Elephas maximus indicus: one gene and its partner. The protein of the gene in region 2 interacts with the protein of the main gene of each other region in a pairwise test. Links are inferred from orthologs where the notes say so. Each region holds a gene or a part of one and is shown on either strand. Other genes may lie near its edges.

The links.
Region 1: the proteins of TOPBP1 (region 2) and CIP2A interact in a two-hybrid assay, tested with the Homo sapiens proteins (2 studies listed by BioGRID). The link is inferred for Elephas maximus indicus from reciprocal best matches to the Homo sapiens genes TOPBP1 and CIP2A.

What each region holds. Positions count from the first base shown.
Region 1 is NC_064836.1:80,958,550-80,966,421, forward strand, and holds the start of CIP2A (protein CIP2A), read right to left. Parts: upstream 3,088-7,872; 5' UTR 2,993-3,087; coding exon 2,891-2,992; intron 1-2,890.
Region 2 is NC_064844.1:46,133,205-46,141,000, reverse strand, and holds the start of TOPBP1 (DNA topoisomerase 2-binding protein 1), read right to left. Parts: upstream 3,101-7,796; 5' UTR 2,918-3,100; intron 2,855-2,917; exon of another isoform or gene 2,055-2,854; intron 1,939-2,054; exon of another isoform or gene 1,934-1,938; 5' UTR 1,932-1,933; coding exon 1,848-1,931; intron 1-1,847. UniProt on the Homo sapiens protein: Scaffold protein that acts as a key protein-protein adapter in DNA replication and DNA repair. Composed of multiple BRCT domains, which specifically recognize and bind phosphorylated proteins, bringing proteins together into functional combinations.

The sequences.
Region 1 (7,872 bases), on a different chromosome or scaffold from region 2:
CTCCTGCAGAAAAAGCTGGTGCGTTCTAACCGTTGACCTTTCAGTTAGCAGCCCAGCACTTAAACACCGAGCTACCAGGGTTCCTTCCCTACAGCCCTACCAAACAAACAAACAAAACCCAAACCCACTGCTGTGGAGTTAGAAATTCTGACTCATAATTTCACTACTAGGTATATAAGAGAAGTGAGAGCATATACTCAAAGACATGCATGAAAATATTCACAACAGCTTCACTGATAATTCCACCCCAAAACGGACACACGCCAATGCACATCAACAGGGGAATGTACCTAACTGCGGGGTGTTTACATAACGGAATTCTATGCAGCAATAAACAGTGAAGTCCTGGTACAAGTGAAACATGAATAAATGTTAGTTCTACTGAATGAAAGCAACCAGACACAAAAGAGTACATATTATATTTGTTGACTTATATGAATCTTGTAGAAAGGAACAATGAAGAAACCTTATGGAGTGATGGAAACTTCCTAGATCCTGATACAGGTGCTAGATACGAAGTGCATATGAAATGTTAAAAAAAACATCAAGCTCTTCAATTAAGATTAACACACCTCAAGCACTTTACTGTAGGTATGTTATTGCTAAAAAAACACCAAACCCGTTGCCATTGAGTTGATTCCAACTCACAGTGACCCTACAGGACAGAGTAAGAACTTCCCCACCTGGTTTCCAAGGAGCACCTGGTAGATTTGAACAGCCACAGCTCTTAACCACTAAACCACCAGTGTTCCCCAAATAACAATAAGTCCCTGATAATTATAGCTTGTGCTCTTCTCGGCTTTGCATCAAAATGCCCCAATGGTAGAATTTTCTCTAAACTGCCTCAAAGTTTGGGAGGGTATCAAAGAGCCAGCCTCTAATCCACAAATTTCTTTGATGTTTCCTTTAATTCATGATAACCTGTTCATTCTCAAAGAGAAGTAATGTTTTAGATTACCATGTAAAATACTTAACCCTGAATTCTTAAATAAAATTGATGGCCCTACTTTTCCATCCTGTGGCTTCTGGAATCCACCAGTGCACTGCTCTGTTCTTGAGACGCAAAGCCTGACCCACCTAACAGTTAACATGTTATTAGGATGCAGTGATTTGTGGAGCCAACGAATGAGAAAAAGAAGGCAAATCTGCGTAGGGGATAGGCAGCTGTACTACTATGAAGAGCAATACCACCAAAGCCCAAGAGAAGAAACACACATTTAATATACTCCACTTTTATAAAGAAAAACAAAAAACTGTTGCTGTACCATTTGCAATCACAGGGTTAGTATGTCAAATAGATTTTAAAATTATGTTCAATCTAATGCTAAGAAAAGGAAGCTGCGACAAAGAATTCTCAAAACAAGCTTTGATTCAGCTTAATTGCTTTTCATGAGGCTGAGGTTACATGTTAGTTTGAATTCCATGAATGTGACACAAATGACAGCAGAAGATTGAGAATCTAAAAACAAACAGGATCACAGAAACAAAATCGTGATTACAATTTTTCCAAAGGAACGTCATAATAGAATAAGTAGTCTAAGCACAAATCACAGGAACTAATCGAAAAAGTGAAAGCAATTCAGCATTTAAGGATTTCAAAACTCTGAGCGATATATTTTGGTAAAGAAAAAAGATTATGATCACTAGTTTCGGGGAAGAGGATTGCTCCTTAATTCAAAGAAAGTTGAAATAATAATTTGCAAGTTCGAGCTCAACACGAGTTCAAACAAAAGCAGTAAGCAACAGGTTCAGATTGTAAAGTGGCTAAGGGCAAAATCAAGTTTTAATCCCCCCCCACCTCCGCCGCCCCCTAGAATCCTGAATATTCTGTGAGGGCCTAATTTCGATGCAAACAACGAAACAAGAAGCAAAAGAAGAGAAGACACAGCTCCTAGCTCTCTCCGAAACGTGCCAAACACCCGGCCCTTGGTGCCAGCCTCCCTGTTGCCGGTGCCCGGGCTGGGGCGGGCGCGGACGGTGGGGAGTCACGGCTGACACACGTTCGCCCTCAGCGGGAACGGCGACAACAGCCGCCGGAGCGGTCACAGCTGACACACGTTCGCCCTCAGCGGGAACGGCGACAACAGCCGCCGCGGCGGTCACGGCTGACACACGTTCGCCCTCAGCGACAACAGCCGCCGGAGCGGTCACGGCTGACACACGTTCGCCCTCAGCGGGACGAGAACAGCCGCCGGAGCGGTCACGGCTGACACACGTTCGCCCTCAGCGGGAACAGCGACAACAGCCGCCGGAGCGGTCACGGCTGACACACGTTCGCCCTCAGCGGGAACAGCGACAACAGCCGCCGGAGCGGTCACGGCTGACACACGTTCGCCCTCAGCGGGAACAGCGACAACAGCCGCCGCGGCGGTCACGGCTGACACACGTTCGCCCTCAGCGGGAACAGCGAGCGCGAACAGCGACAACAGCCGCCGGAGCGGTCACGGCTGACACACGTTCGCCCTCAGCGGGACGAGAACAGCCGCCGGAGCGGTCACGGCTGACACACGTTCGCCCTCAGCGACAACAGCCGCCGGAGCGGTCACGGCTGACACACGTTCGCCCTCAGCGGGAACAGCGACAACAGCCGCCGCGGCGGTCACGGCTGACACACGTTCGCCCTCAGCGGGAACAGCGAGCGCGAACAGCGACAACAGCCGCCGCGGCGGTCACGGCTGACACACGTTCGCCCTCAGCGGGAACAGCGACAACAGCCGCCGGAGCGGTCACGGCTGACACACGTTCGCCCTCAGCGGGAACAGCGAGCGCGAACAGCGACAACAGCCGCCGGAGCGGGGGCTGTCGTTCCAGCTCGGGCCGCCACACCGGGCAGCGGACCAGGGGTCACTGGAGGAAAGCCCCATCTCGTCCCCACCCCAGGACCCCGCACCTCCAGGTGCCGCAGAAGCTGGGTGGCGTTCGCCTCCGACTTGACGGCTTTGTACTGACTAATGGTCAGCAGCAAGGACTTCAGGCTGGCAGTGGAGTCCATCCCGACCGGCCCAGCCTCGCCGGGGACCGCCGCCACCCAGCCCTCTCAGGACCTCCAGCTCCGGCCGCGCTTTTTTTGATTTTCGGCCGCACCCCCTCGCGCCCAGCAACTTCCGGTTCCGGTCGGGTTCCGGAAGTGTTTGGGGCTCTGGGGGACGGCCTCTCAATGAGGCACAGGCTGGGTCTGTGGGTTGTGGCGCTCCTTCCAACCCCTCCCTTTCCTCTGAGCTCGCGAGGTTTCATCTCCGAGACCCTTGAGAACGAGCTATCTCGCGAGAAGCGCGACTGTTTCTTCCAACCCACAGAGGGGCGGTGAAGCGCCGCGGCTGCGTTGTTGTTTTGTAAGCTTTGCTTTCGTTTGCTTCCTGGGCCCTCACGCTGGATGGCTGGCTTTTCCTTTGCGCATCATCCTTTACCTGAGAAATAGTCTAGACACGGTGAGGAGCTCTGAGCAGAGACTCTTTGGGCCCTAGAGTTTTGAGACAGCCGGGGAGGGGACCTCGCTTTAAATCTTTACCTCGTCGACCCTAAACCATTGGAATTTCGTGACGGCTGTCAGGTCCTTAGCTGGCCTTTGTCAGGCTTATTCGAGAAAACCACCGCCGGGCAACTCCTGGGCCCGGTGATGGCGGTGGGTGGCTTCCTTAGCGTCACTTTCCGTAAGGGGAGCTGTCTTTCCGTGTGGCATGGTTGTGATGTCAACCTCGCCGCCTACGTTCTCTGCTTTTTCTTTTTCTTTTTAAATCAGAGGTAATGAGTACTGTCTAATTAGTATTATGCATGTGTATATCACGAGGTGAGTCAAGTAGCTGGTTCTGCAGCTTCCTTAATTTATGCTAAAAAAAAAAATACCTAATAAAGCTTTAAAAACCAGTCTGGAAAATTTTAAGACTAGGGTACATCTCTAATGAAATAATTCATCAGAAATCATGTTTTGTCGAGTCAAAGATGTATTTTTTTTACATCATTACATTTTTAAGGCCAGGTTTATTTTTATATTAAAAATGTCGATTTCACTATTATATCTGAAAGCTTAAAATGATTGAGACAAACATGTAAGGATCATTACGTAGGGAATGTATTCATTCATGCATTCATTCAGTAAACAGTTGTTGAGCGTATAACACATACAATTGTCAGTAACAGCACAAAGATAATGATGCCTCCCCTGCTGGGAAGTAACTGCCTGGTAAGGGAAACATATGAAGTAGTGCATATGGAATTTCGTATACAAAAGACAGACACCAGGTAGTGATGTAAAGAGTGGAGCCAGGCTGTCTGTCTACAAATCCTAGCTCCATCTTTTTACCGTGTGACCATAGGCAAGTTCTCATTGTGCTTCAGTGTAGTAATAAGGTAAAATCTGGCTAATAAAAGTAACTGTTAACTAGATTTGTTCATTAGATAAACATTCATTGGGAGCCTGCAGTGTGCCAGGCAGTATTCTGGCCCTCGGGATTTAGTGAGTAAAACAAAAACCCCACTGCCGTGGAACTTACATTCTGGTAGGGAGAGAAAAAAATATACACCATTAAAAAAAATGATACGGGGAAAAAACACAGCAGAGTTAATACTGTGGAATAATGGCGTTTGAGAAGAAGGTGGTTATACCTGTAATTTTCAGTAGAGTAGTCAGGAAAGGGCTGCTTGAGAAAGCAATATTTGAAAAAATACTGCAAGGAGTTGAGAGAGAGCCATGCTGTCTAGAGGAAAAGGCTTCCAGATACAGGGAATAATAAGACCAAAGGCCTTGAAGTAGGACCATGGCAATGTGTGCCAGGAAGAGCAAGGCGACTACCATAGCTGAAGTGGAGAAAGCAAGGATGAGAACAGTTGGAAATAAAGTCGTGTAAGGTCTTAAAGACCTTACAAAATGAGTCGGTCGACGTAAAGAGTTTAGAACAGTGTGTGGCATAACCAAGTTCTTGATAAGCATTGGGTGTCATTGTCATTTGTTGGCAAATACAGTGATAAGAGTTTGATACTGTTAGACTTTTCACCTTGCAACGAATGGTAAGTGTGCCATCATCACCCCCATCCTGGGGCAGAGGAAGGAGTCTACTCTTCCTGCCGTAGGTGGCATCTTTCTTTGAAATCTTGCATTTTAACTTAAGCAGTAATGCAAATTTCACATTCTTTTCCGTAAAATCATGTTATATATAAAATAATGTCTTCCTCAGACAATACTCATCAAAAATTGACGCTGTAAGTTTAGTGGGACATACTATGTAATTTTGAGGAACCTTGATGTCTTTAGTCAGAGACACTGGCGTATCCTCACTTGAGAAACATTAGAGCCATACGTTTAAGCCCAAAGTAGTGGGGGAGGGGGAGAGGAGACTGGGTCCAGATGACTGAAGGCTTTATTGGCTTTGATCTTGGACTCCATTCTGAATTCAGGGGCAATCTCTGGTTTTACACTTGGGTATGACCTAGTCAAGTTTCTGTTTTAGATTGAGGACTCCGACAGCTGAATGGCTATGATTTTGAGGAGGGTGAGGGAGTGACTCCACGGCAGCTAACAAGAAGTCTAGAAGTAGGGAGACAAACTTACTGGAGCCTGTCCAAAGGATAACCAGTGTAGTGGAAGTGTAGATAGTGGCAATTTTAAGAAATACGTATGAGGCAAAATAGGCAGGATTTAGTGACTGATAGTGGATATGAAGAGTGAGGAGTGGGAGTGTCTAGAGGAGTTTCCACATTTCTAGATTGGGCGACAGAGAAGATGGAGGCAGTGCCTAGGCAATTAATAGAGAGTATTCAGGCTGTATTTTATGTTCAGTGAAATTTTATGTAGTTTATCATATAGTCTTGTACCATCTCATTAAGTTTATTTCTGGATGTTATATAATTTTTATTACTCTAAATGGGTTCTCTTTTTCTCTTAAAAAATTTTAAGTTGTTAATTGCTACTCTAAAAAAAGATGCTGATTTTGATCTGTCTTTTATCCAGCCTGGAAACCCTGGTGTAGTAGTTAAGAGCTTCGGCTGCTAACCGAAAGGTTGCAAGTTCGAATCCCCCAGATGCTCCTTGGAAAGCCTGTGGTGGGGGGGGCAGTTCTACTGGGTCGCTATGAGTCAGAATTGACTCGGCGGCGGCAGTGGATTTGGTTTTTTTTTTTTGGTTCTCCGGTTTATCAACTGAACTCTCACTAATTGTAATAGAGCTTCGCTTACTCTCAGAGTTCTAACTATAAAAACTATATATTATCTGCAAATAATAGTTTCATCCCCTGTTTCATATCTGTTGTATTTATGAGTCGGAATCAACTCGATGGCGCTGGGTTTGGTTTTGGTTGTATTTATTGCAATAGTATAATGTCTAGTATCTAATCATGGTGATATTGAGCATGTTTGTATTATTGCTTAATTTAATAGGGATATCTTCAGTATTTTAACATTTAATATAATTTGTGCTAATGGCTTGTGATAAATATTCTTTATTATGTTTAAAAGACTGCCTTCTAGGCCTGCTCTATTTAAATATTTGTCAAAAATGTCTGCTAAAAATTTATCAAATTTTTATCAAAAATCTTCTTTTTCTCTATAAAATATTAATGGAATGGATTATGTTGGGTGTTTTTTTTTGTCTGTTTGTTCTTGGGATAATAATAATAGCTAACACTGAACATTTGCCAAATGCCAAGCACTAGTCTAAGGACTTTATACTTACCCATTTAATCTTCTTAACAACTTCATGCAATAGGTACTATTATGATCTCCATTTTACAGATGGAAAAACTGAGACAGAGAGAAGTGATTTGCCCAAGCTCAACAAGGAAGTATTAACAAACCCTATATATGGTGTGCCACAGGTGTTGATTTGCTGATATTTTATTAAGAATTTTGTAAGAATGTTCATAAGTGAGAGTTTTCAATAAATTTTTTTGTATTGTCTATTTTGGAATGTGGGTTATATGTTACTTTTGAAAAATGAATGTGAAGCATTTCAATCTTTTTTCTGTTATGGGATAATCAGATTACACAGGAGTCATCTGGTACTTGGCTATATGCAGCTGGCCGATAAAATCATCAAGCTTGGTACCTTATTTAGTGGTATATCTTCAGCAAATATTTGAATTTCAAATATGGTTAAAGTTCTGTTAATTTTTTTCCACCTTGAGTTCATTTTGGAAATATATATTTTTTAGCAAACCAGTTGTTTAGATTTAAAAATTTATCAATACAACTTGCATTCGGTATTCCAGTCAGTCTTTTTCTTTCTTATTTGTAGTTTTAAATTTCCTTTTTCATTTTAATAATATCTATTCCTTTTCTTAGTTGGACTTTCTATTTTATTCAACTTTTCAAGAACGAACTTTGGTTTACTTATTTTTTTTTGTTTACAGTAAGCAGTTTTACTTTTATCTTTATTAATTCCATCCATTACATGGATTTTTCTTTGTTTCTAGTTTTTTTTTTTTTAAAGTTGAAGGCTTAGTATATTTCCATACGATAACTTTTTTCATAAAAAAGGTTTATTTTTATGTCCACCAATTTTTTTAAGGAAGTAGATGTAGCGAGCATCTGCATTTTACTTTGTTAATAAAATAATTATGTATACTGTATTTTTCTGCAAATAAAGCATGCCTCCTACATTTTTTTGCCAACTGCTCCCTCCCTCTGTGAGGTACTTTCGTAAGTGCAGCTATGCCAATTTTTACATGTTGATGTAAAAAGAATTAGCACAGCCTATTTATGAAAATACCTCAGGGAAGAGAGATCAGTTGGCAAACAAACGTAGAAGGAACGCGTTATTTGCATAAAAACATGGGTAATCATTTTAACCAGTCAGGTAATTATATTTTTAAAATGCTAATATTTATTCATTCATCATATATTTACTGAGTTCCAGACATAGTTCTTTTTCAAGGAGCTTAA
Region 2 (7,796 bases):
CTTGTTTGCCACTTTATCCTGGAACCTAGTAAATACTCAAATATTTCATGAACAAATTCTGAAATGTCTATGTCCTGAATTTTGAAGTCTCTATGTCCTTAAGGAGCCCTGGCAGCACAGCAGTTACAACCCTGGCTGCTAACCAAAAGGCCAGCGGTTGGAATCCACCAGCCACTCCCTGGAAATCCTATGGGGCAGTTCTACTCTGTCCTATAGGGTCACTATGAGTCGGAATAGACTCAACAGCAATGGGTTTGATTTTTTTGTATGTCCTTAAAGTGATCCTTTTAAAGCAATGTCAGATCAAAAACTCCTTTATTAAAACCCACCACTGGCTCTGTACTTCACTTAGAGGCAAAAACCAAAGTCCTTACAATAACCCATAAGACCCTAAATGATTTCTTCACCCTTACTTTCTGAAGTATCCTTTCATACTCTCCCACACTCCTTGTACACTCTACACTAACTTTCTCGCTAGTCCTTGGACAGACAATCCACGGACTTTCCCATGGGCCTGTGAACTGGTTATTCCATCTGCCTGGAACCTTCTTCCCCAGAGAGCCCAGTGGCTCCTTCAAGTTTACTCAAATATCACCTCCTTCAAGTTTACTCAAATATCATCTTCTCCACAAAGCCTACCCTGATCTTACTCTATTTAAAACTGTAACCTCCCCTTCCTCCTGGCAACATCCTCCAGAACCCCTTAACATGCTGTGCTTTTTTCTCTTCCCATATCACTGAGAACCTTATAGCACACTATATAGTTTATTCATATGAGTTTACTGATTAAAGTCTATTTCCCCCTGCTAGAACGTAAGCTCTGAAAAAGCAGGGCTCTTTGTCTGCTCAGGTAACTGATACATGTATCCCAAGTACCTATCAGATCATGAACCAAAAAAAAAACCCAGTGCCGTCAAGTCGATTCCGACTCATAGCGACCCTATAGGACAGAGTAGAACTGCCCCACAGAGTTTCCAAGGAGCGCCTGGCAGATTCGAACTGCCGACCCTTTGGTTAGCAGCTGTAGCACTGAACCACTACGCCACCAGGGTTTCCAATCAGATCATGAGCACTCAATAAATATTTGATGAATGAACTTTAAGGAAAAACCTGCTACAATACTCCTGAAATTTTAATGTGCACAAGAATCACACTGGGGATCTTGTTAAAATGCAGATCCTAATTGGTAACTTTAAGACAGGCCCTGAGAATATACATTTTCTAACAAACTCCCAAGCCATACTGATGTTGTTGAGGTCTGTGAGTAGCAAGGCTCTACACCACCTCTTAAAAAAAAAAACAAAACAAAACCCAAACCCATTGCTGTCAATTCTGACTCATAATAACCCTACAGGACACAGCACAACTGTCCCATAGGGTTTTCAAGGAGTAGCTGGTAGATGTGAACTGCCAACCTTCTGGTTAGGAGCCGAACTCTTAACCACTGTACCTGGACCCTCCATATTATACCGCACATAATGAAACATACTTTTAACACTTAACCAAACAAGTGCTGATGTGTGATCAGTACACAAATGACTCAAATTTATTCACACACAAAGAACCACTGTGGTTAGTAAACAAAAGAAAGCAACTTAATTTCCAAGAACTGCAGGTCAGCCACATCCAACAGAAATGTTATGTGTTTCAAAGACCCCAAATACACAATAATAACATACATACTTAAAACAATTCAAAAACATGTAATGATGCTATATCTATATTAATGTAAAACCATTATGAAGATAAAGTATCTATGGCTAAGACATAAAAAGCCTAATTTTAAAAAACACTAAAAAGAAGAAAACGAACTTACAGCATCAAACCACATTTTCAACTATTCTTACCTCCAGGGCTTTGAAAAAACATTCAGAATTGTCTGGAGACTTTAAAAACTTCACAAAGAACGGTTCTTTGTCATTTCCGGACATGTCTGAACTGTCAAAATAAAAGGATCATTAACGAGAAAAAAACATACCACATATATTTAGTTAAAATTTTAAAGCACCCATTTTTCTGTGCAGGCAAGAATGTCTAAGGATAGGCATTCTGACCTTAACATGAACTCGTCCTGCACGTTTGTAAGAAATGCTAGAATGTCAGCAAAATCCAAGACAAGGATGACAACATCAAACCGTACAAATCAGAGACGGAAGCTAATGTCCCTAAATTGAAGGCCATGAGGGCCCCTGCACCGGGGGCTTTACGGTAAGTCACATCGGCAAATGGACGTTCAATTGCCCGGTGCCTAAGGATAAGCACTTCTGTGCCTGCGGAATCCACGGCCCTCGAGGACTGTCCACCTCTCAGCAAACGGATTTTAAACGTAAACACGGAAGCCAGCTAGCGAGGTCGTGCCCCGCAAAGGGCCGCCTCTCCCCGCCTCCCGGTCCCCAACGACAGGCCCGGCCGTGGGTTCGGCCGCAAAGCAGAGGGCCGCCTCTCCCCGCCTCCCGGTCCCCAACAACAGGCCCGGCCGTGGGTCCGGCCGCAGAGCAGAGGGCCGCCTCTCCCCGCCTCCCGGTCCCCAACGACAGGCCCGGCCGTGGGTCCGGCCGCAGAGCAGAGGGCCGCCTCTCCCCGCCTCCCGGTCCCCAACGACAGGCCCGGCCGTGGGTCCGGCCGCAGAGCAGAGGGCCGCCTCTCCCCGCCTCCCGGTCCCCAACGACAGGCCCGGCCGTGGGTCCGGCCGCAGAGCAGAGGGCCGCCTCTCCCCGCCTCCCGGTCCCCAGGGACAGGCCCGGCCGTGGGTCCGGCCGCACAGGCTCGTCCCCTCCGGCCGCAGAGGCCCGCCCGCCGGTCGGAGGGCCGGTTGGAAGGGCGGGAAGCCAGGGCCCGGAAGGCAGGCCAGCGGCGGCGCTGCGGCCCCTAGTTGGGGCGGAGAAAGAACCGGGTCTTCATCCCGCGACTCACTCACCTTGGTGGAGCCCGGGAGCCTCCGGCTGGCGAGTTGGGGGGCGCGCGGCCGGCAGGACGACGGCGGGGGTCGGGCGCCAGCCCGGCGCAGACCCGCCCCAGCCGGCGGCGCCCCCAGCCCGGGGGAATCGCAGGACAACCCGGAAGTGGCCGAGGACGGGAACCGACTTTCGCGCCAACGGCGCGGGCCCCTCGCCTCTTCCGGCGGAAGTGATGCCGCCTCATCACGCAGAGGGGCGGGCGATGCAAACGCCTAGGTGGGCTGGGCCGGCTGTTTGGCCCTCGAGCCGTGGGATGGGGAGTTCTTTAAGAGATTGGGGCGGATCCCCAGGGGTTTGGGACTTTCAGGGCTGGCCTGGGCTCCCCTGGGAGCTAGCGGACCCCTGACGATCCAGGGCGCGGGGCTCCAGGCCAGTAGTGTTCCTTTAGTGGTGAAAGTAAAACCCGAGGGAAGGAGGCTTTCCCCTGTCTCCATGAGCCGGAATTCCCTGGATGGCGACGAGGAGCACCTTGTGCCTGGCAGTGCTCTAGAAACGATACATTATCATCCAGAACAGCTCTGTGAGGCAGATAGTGGTATGTCCATCATACAGATGGAAGAACTGAGTCTTAAAGAAGTGGTGTATCCTAGGTAGCGTATTAAGTGGTAAGATAAAGACTGAATCCCCGTCTTTGTGACTCCAGGTCTTTTCCCTCCAAAAGAGCAGGAATGTAAATCACCGCCTATCACAGCCTGGGGCTCTGAAGGGAGGAAAGATGTCAGGATGACTTGGGTCGCACAGCTAACGCAGAGGGCTCTTTGCAAAGATTTTCAGTGGTCCCTGCTCCCCTTCGAAGGGCATCTCACTTTCGTTCTCTGCACTTGCCTGAGTTTTGGGGATGAAAACTAACGTTCAAATGGCAAACAGTACGGACGGGATTAAAATGGGCCTGCTTTATCTCAAAACCAAAACCAAACCCACTGCTGTTGAGTCGTTTCTGACCCATGGTGACCCTGTTGGACAGAATAGAACTGCCCCATAGGGTTTCTTTGGCTGCAATCTTTATGGGAGCAAATTGTAAGTCTTTCCTCCAGGGGAGTTGCTGGTGGGTTTGAACTGCTGTCCTTTCGGTTAGCAGTACAGTGCTTTAACCACTGAGCCACAAGGCTTTTGGAGAATCTTAGCTGGTTGAAAATCAGTGATAAACTACTTAGTTCGTTCTTTTTATTTTATCCTTGATTGTTGAGACTGAGAAGATCTTGACTTAGAATAAAGTAATGTGAGAGTTTCATTTCATCTACCTTGGTTATATTTTTCTTTTTAGAGCCTAAAGATGGCAATGAGGAGCTTGGGTCTAAGTGTATGAATATACCAGCAGAAGGTGAGTCAGGACCAGTAGCATTGGGCCTCAAAGACCATTGTTGGGGAGAGGGTGACCAAAGCCTTAAAAACAAAAATTACTAAAAAGCAAAACAAATATTACTAAAGCTGGAGGAAAAACAGAAGCCACTGCTAATTGTTCCAGTGCAAACCTGTCATGAAGCTGTCATGATAATTAATATGTGGCAAGTACTTTACACTTGACAGAGGACTCCTCTCCTACTTGCACTATCCTCATTTCCTCTTCTCAGGCATCCTATAGTCCGAACTCACTGCTGTGGAGTCAATTCCAAATCACACAACCTATAGGCAGAGTAGAACTGTACCATAGGATTTCCAAGGCTGTAATCTTTAAGAAACAGACTGTCATCTTTATCCTGCAGAGTGGCTGATGGGTTCAAACTGCCTATTTTTGGGTTAGTGGCTGAGCTCTGGTGGCGCAGGGGTTAAGAGCTCCTTCGTCCTATACCCAACCCAGTGCCATTGAGTTGATTCCGACTCATAGCGACCCTATGGGACAGAGTAGAACTGCCCCATAGAGTTTCCAAGGTTAGACTCCAGAAAACCAAACTAGCTGCCATTGACTCATAGTGACCCTATGAGACAGACCAGAACTGCTCCATAAGGTTTCCAAGGAGTGGCTGGTAGATTCAAACTGCCAACCTTTTGGTTAGCAGCAGTAAGCTCGCCATAGTTTAAGTATGTGGGTATTATTGTCCCGTGTTATGTAGATGGGGAAATTGAGGCTCAGAGACTGTGTGGCTAGCCTAGGGCCGCACAGCCAGGAAGTAGGCTGGAGAACAAGCAGAGTGGCTGGACACTGCACACTGCTTCTGGCTACATGCTGCCTGCTCACTCAGCATGAAGGTCACCAGCAGGGCAGGAGCCCCCGTTCCTGGTGCGTATGGGGCTGAGTGCAGGCCTCACAGAGGAGATTCACTAATAACATGCTGCTAATGAAGAAGAGGAAACCCTGGTGACAAGGTGGTTAAGTGTGATGGCTGCTAACCAAAAGGTCAGCAGTTCGAATCCAGCAGGTGCTCCTTAGAAACTCTATGGGGCAGTTCTACTCTATCCTGTAGAGTCACTATGATTCAGAAATGACTCGACAACAACGGCTCAATGGCTTTAATGAAGAAAAGGAAAACAAAATGCCTTTTAGCTTTACAAAAAAAACAAATAAAAACACCCAGTTGTCCTCGAGTTTATTCTGACTCATGGTGACCCCAACTATGTCAGAGAACTGTGCTCTATAGCATTTTCAATGGCTGATGTTCAGAAGTATGTCGCCATGCCAGTCTGGACTCTTACTTCCAACATAGCAGAGCGGTTAACTGTAACACTAAGGCATTACTAAAGGAATGGGCAGAGAGGGTCTTTATCTGTCCCTGAAGCCCCTAATCTTGGGCAATAGATAAGAGTGGTGGTTCTCAAAATGTGGTCTGGACCAGCAACTTCATCATCATGTAGTAACTTGTTAGAAATGCAAATTGTTAGGCCTTACACTAGAACTACTGTGTCAGGAACTCGGGGGGTGGGACCCATCAGTCTGTTTTAACAAGCCCATCAGGTGATTCTGAGGCACATTAAAGCTTACTTAAACAGCCATTCTTTCAGGGAGGATGAAAGTATTTATATGGGTTTGTGCTCCATGAGGAGCCCAAGTAACACAGTGGTTAAAGTGCTTGGCTGCTAACCAAAAGGTCTGCAGTTCGAGCCCACCAACCTCCCCGAGAGAGGAAAATGTGGCAGGTCTGCTTCTGTGAAGATTAACAGCCTTGGAAGCCCTGTGGGAGCACTTCTGCTCTGTCCTATAGGGTCATTGTTTGTCAGAATCGACTCCATGGCAGCGAGTTGGGTTTCGTTTGGATGCACTATGAAGATTTTTGTGAGAATGGGGATTGGTTATGATGCGCCCTCAAGCAACTGTCTCAGAAGCTGGGGCTTGAGGGTTAACTTTCCCCTCATCTCCCTGGCACTGCTTGCTTTCAGGGAAGCAGGCCACATGTTGGAAATGGCAGAGTCTCCCTCAGCCTGAATCCCTCAATGACTGAGTTGAGATGTGGAGGGGAGCCTGTCTCCCACCTCAACCAATCATTGCCACTATTGCCAATTGGGCTTTATGTTATCAAGACAGTATCTTCTACTGTGCTGCCACTGTTATTGCAGCTAGTATCACCCTCACCAATTCTGAAATTGGCAACAGTTTAAACAAACATTTTTCGACTGAAAAATCTGTCTTTATTATTATAAGGGCCCTCGGAAAGGAAAGTATGAAAATGTTCCAGAGAAAAATGCCAGAGTCCACATGGGAAAGTACATGGACTGTGGAAGCAGGCTGCCTGGTTTGAATGTCAGCTCTAACATGAACTAGCTCTCTGAGGTTGGGCAAGTTGTTTAACCCTTTGGTGACCCAATTATTTTCTGCTTGGATTTTTTTGTTGATACCATGTGTTTTTATTAATGGAAGCATTCTGAATCATTGACTGTATCTGAATTTTTGTAGGTAGTATGGATTTTTTTTCTTGTCCCCTCCCACAAGTCTACCCTAAGTGTTCAGTGGTACGTATGAAGTCCCACTAGTTATACCCCAGAGTCCCCACCCAGACCTATGGGTACATATATGTAACAAATAAAAACTTTCAAAATTTCTATTTTTCCTATCAAAAATTCAGGCACCTTCTACAATACCCTGTAAAAACAGTAATTTGCAGCACACACCCATTTGTTTGGTTTCAAACAGTCATAAAGGTCCCTGCCTTGCAGCAGCACACACTGTCAATGATACAGCAGCTTCCCAGTAAATCCCAGGGGCTGAAAAAGTTCATGGTTGCTGTATATACTGCTAGGCCTGAAAGAATTAACCTGTGTGTGCTTTACTTTCTTCTGTGAACCAAACCGATGGGGATGATAATAGCGTCTCCTTCATGAGGTCACTAAATTAGTGTTTGCAAAGCACTTAGCAAAGTGCCTGGTACGAGGTTTTGATACATTTAAAATTTCCTAATTTTCCAAAGGCCATCCTTGCCATGGAGTCTTTAATTGTTCCCCACAATATAATGCTCCAGTCTTCTATTCTGGAACTTGTGAGAGCATGTGCCAAAACAGGCAATGGCATTATGACTTTGGATGTCCTTCCATTGAAATATGACTTTGTGCATAGGAAGTTATCAGAGTCTGTGCTACTCCGGGTCAGAGGGCCCCCTGAGCTTTATTGAATTTGGGCTGTGTTAGCTTTTGATCAATCATTAACCTTAAGAGAAATGGTCATCTTTGGACTGTCTTTGTTTTTTGTCCACAGGTCTAAAGAGAAGATTGTTCAACCACCTTCTGAGACATTTGGTTCTGTGCATTTATTCATCCATTTTGATAATTTTTTTGTTGTCAGACCAGTAAGCCTGGTCTTTGTATGTGCTTTATATGAAGGTTTACAGAGCAAATTAATTTCTCATTAAACAATTAATATACATATTGTTTTGTGACATTGGTTGCCAACCCCACAAAGTGTCAACATTCTCC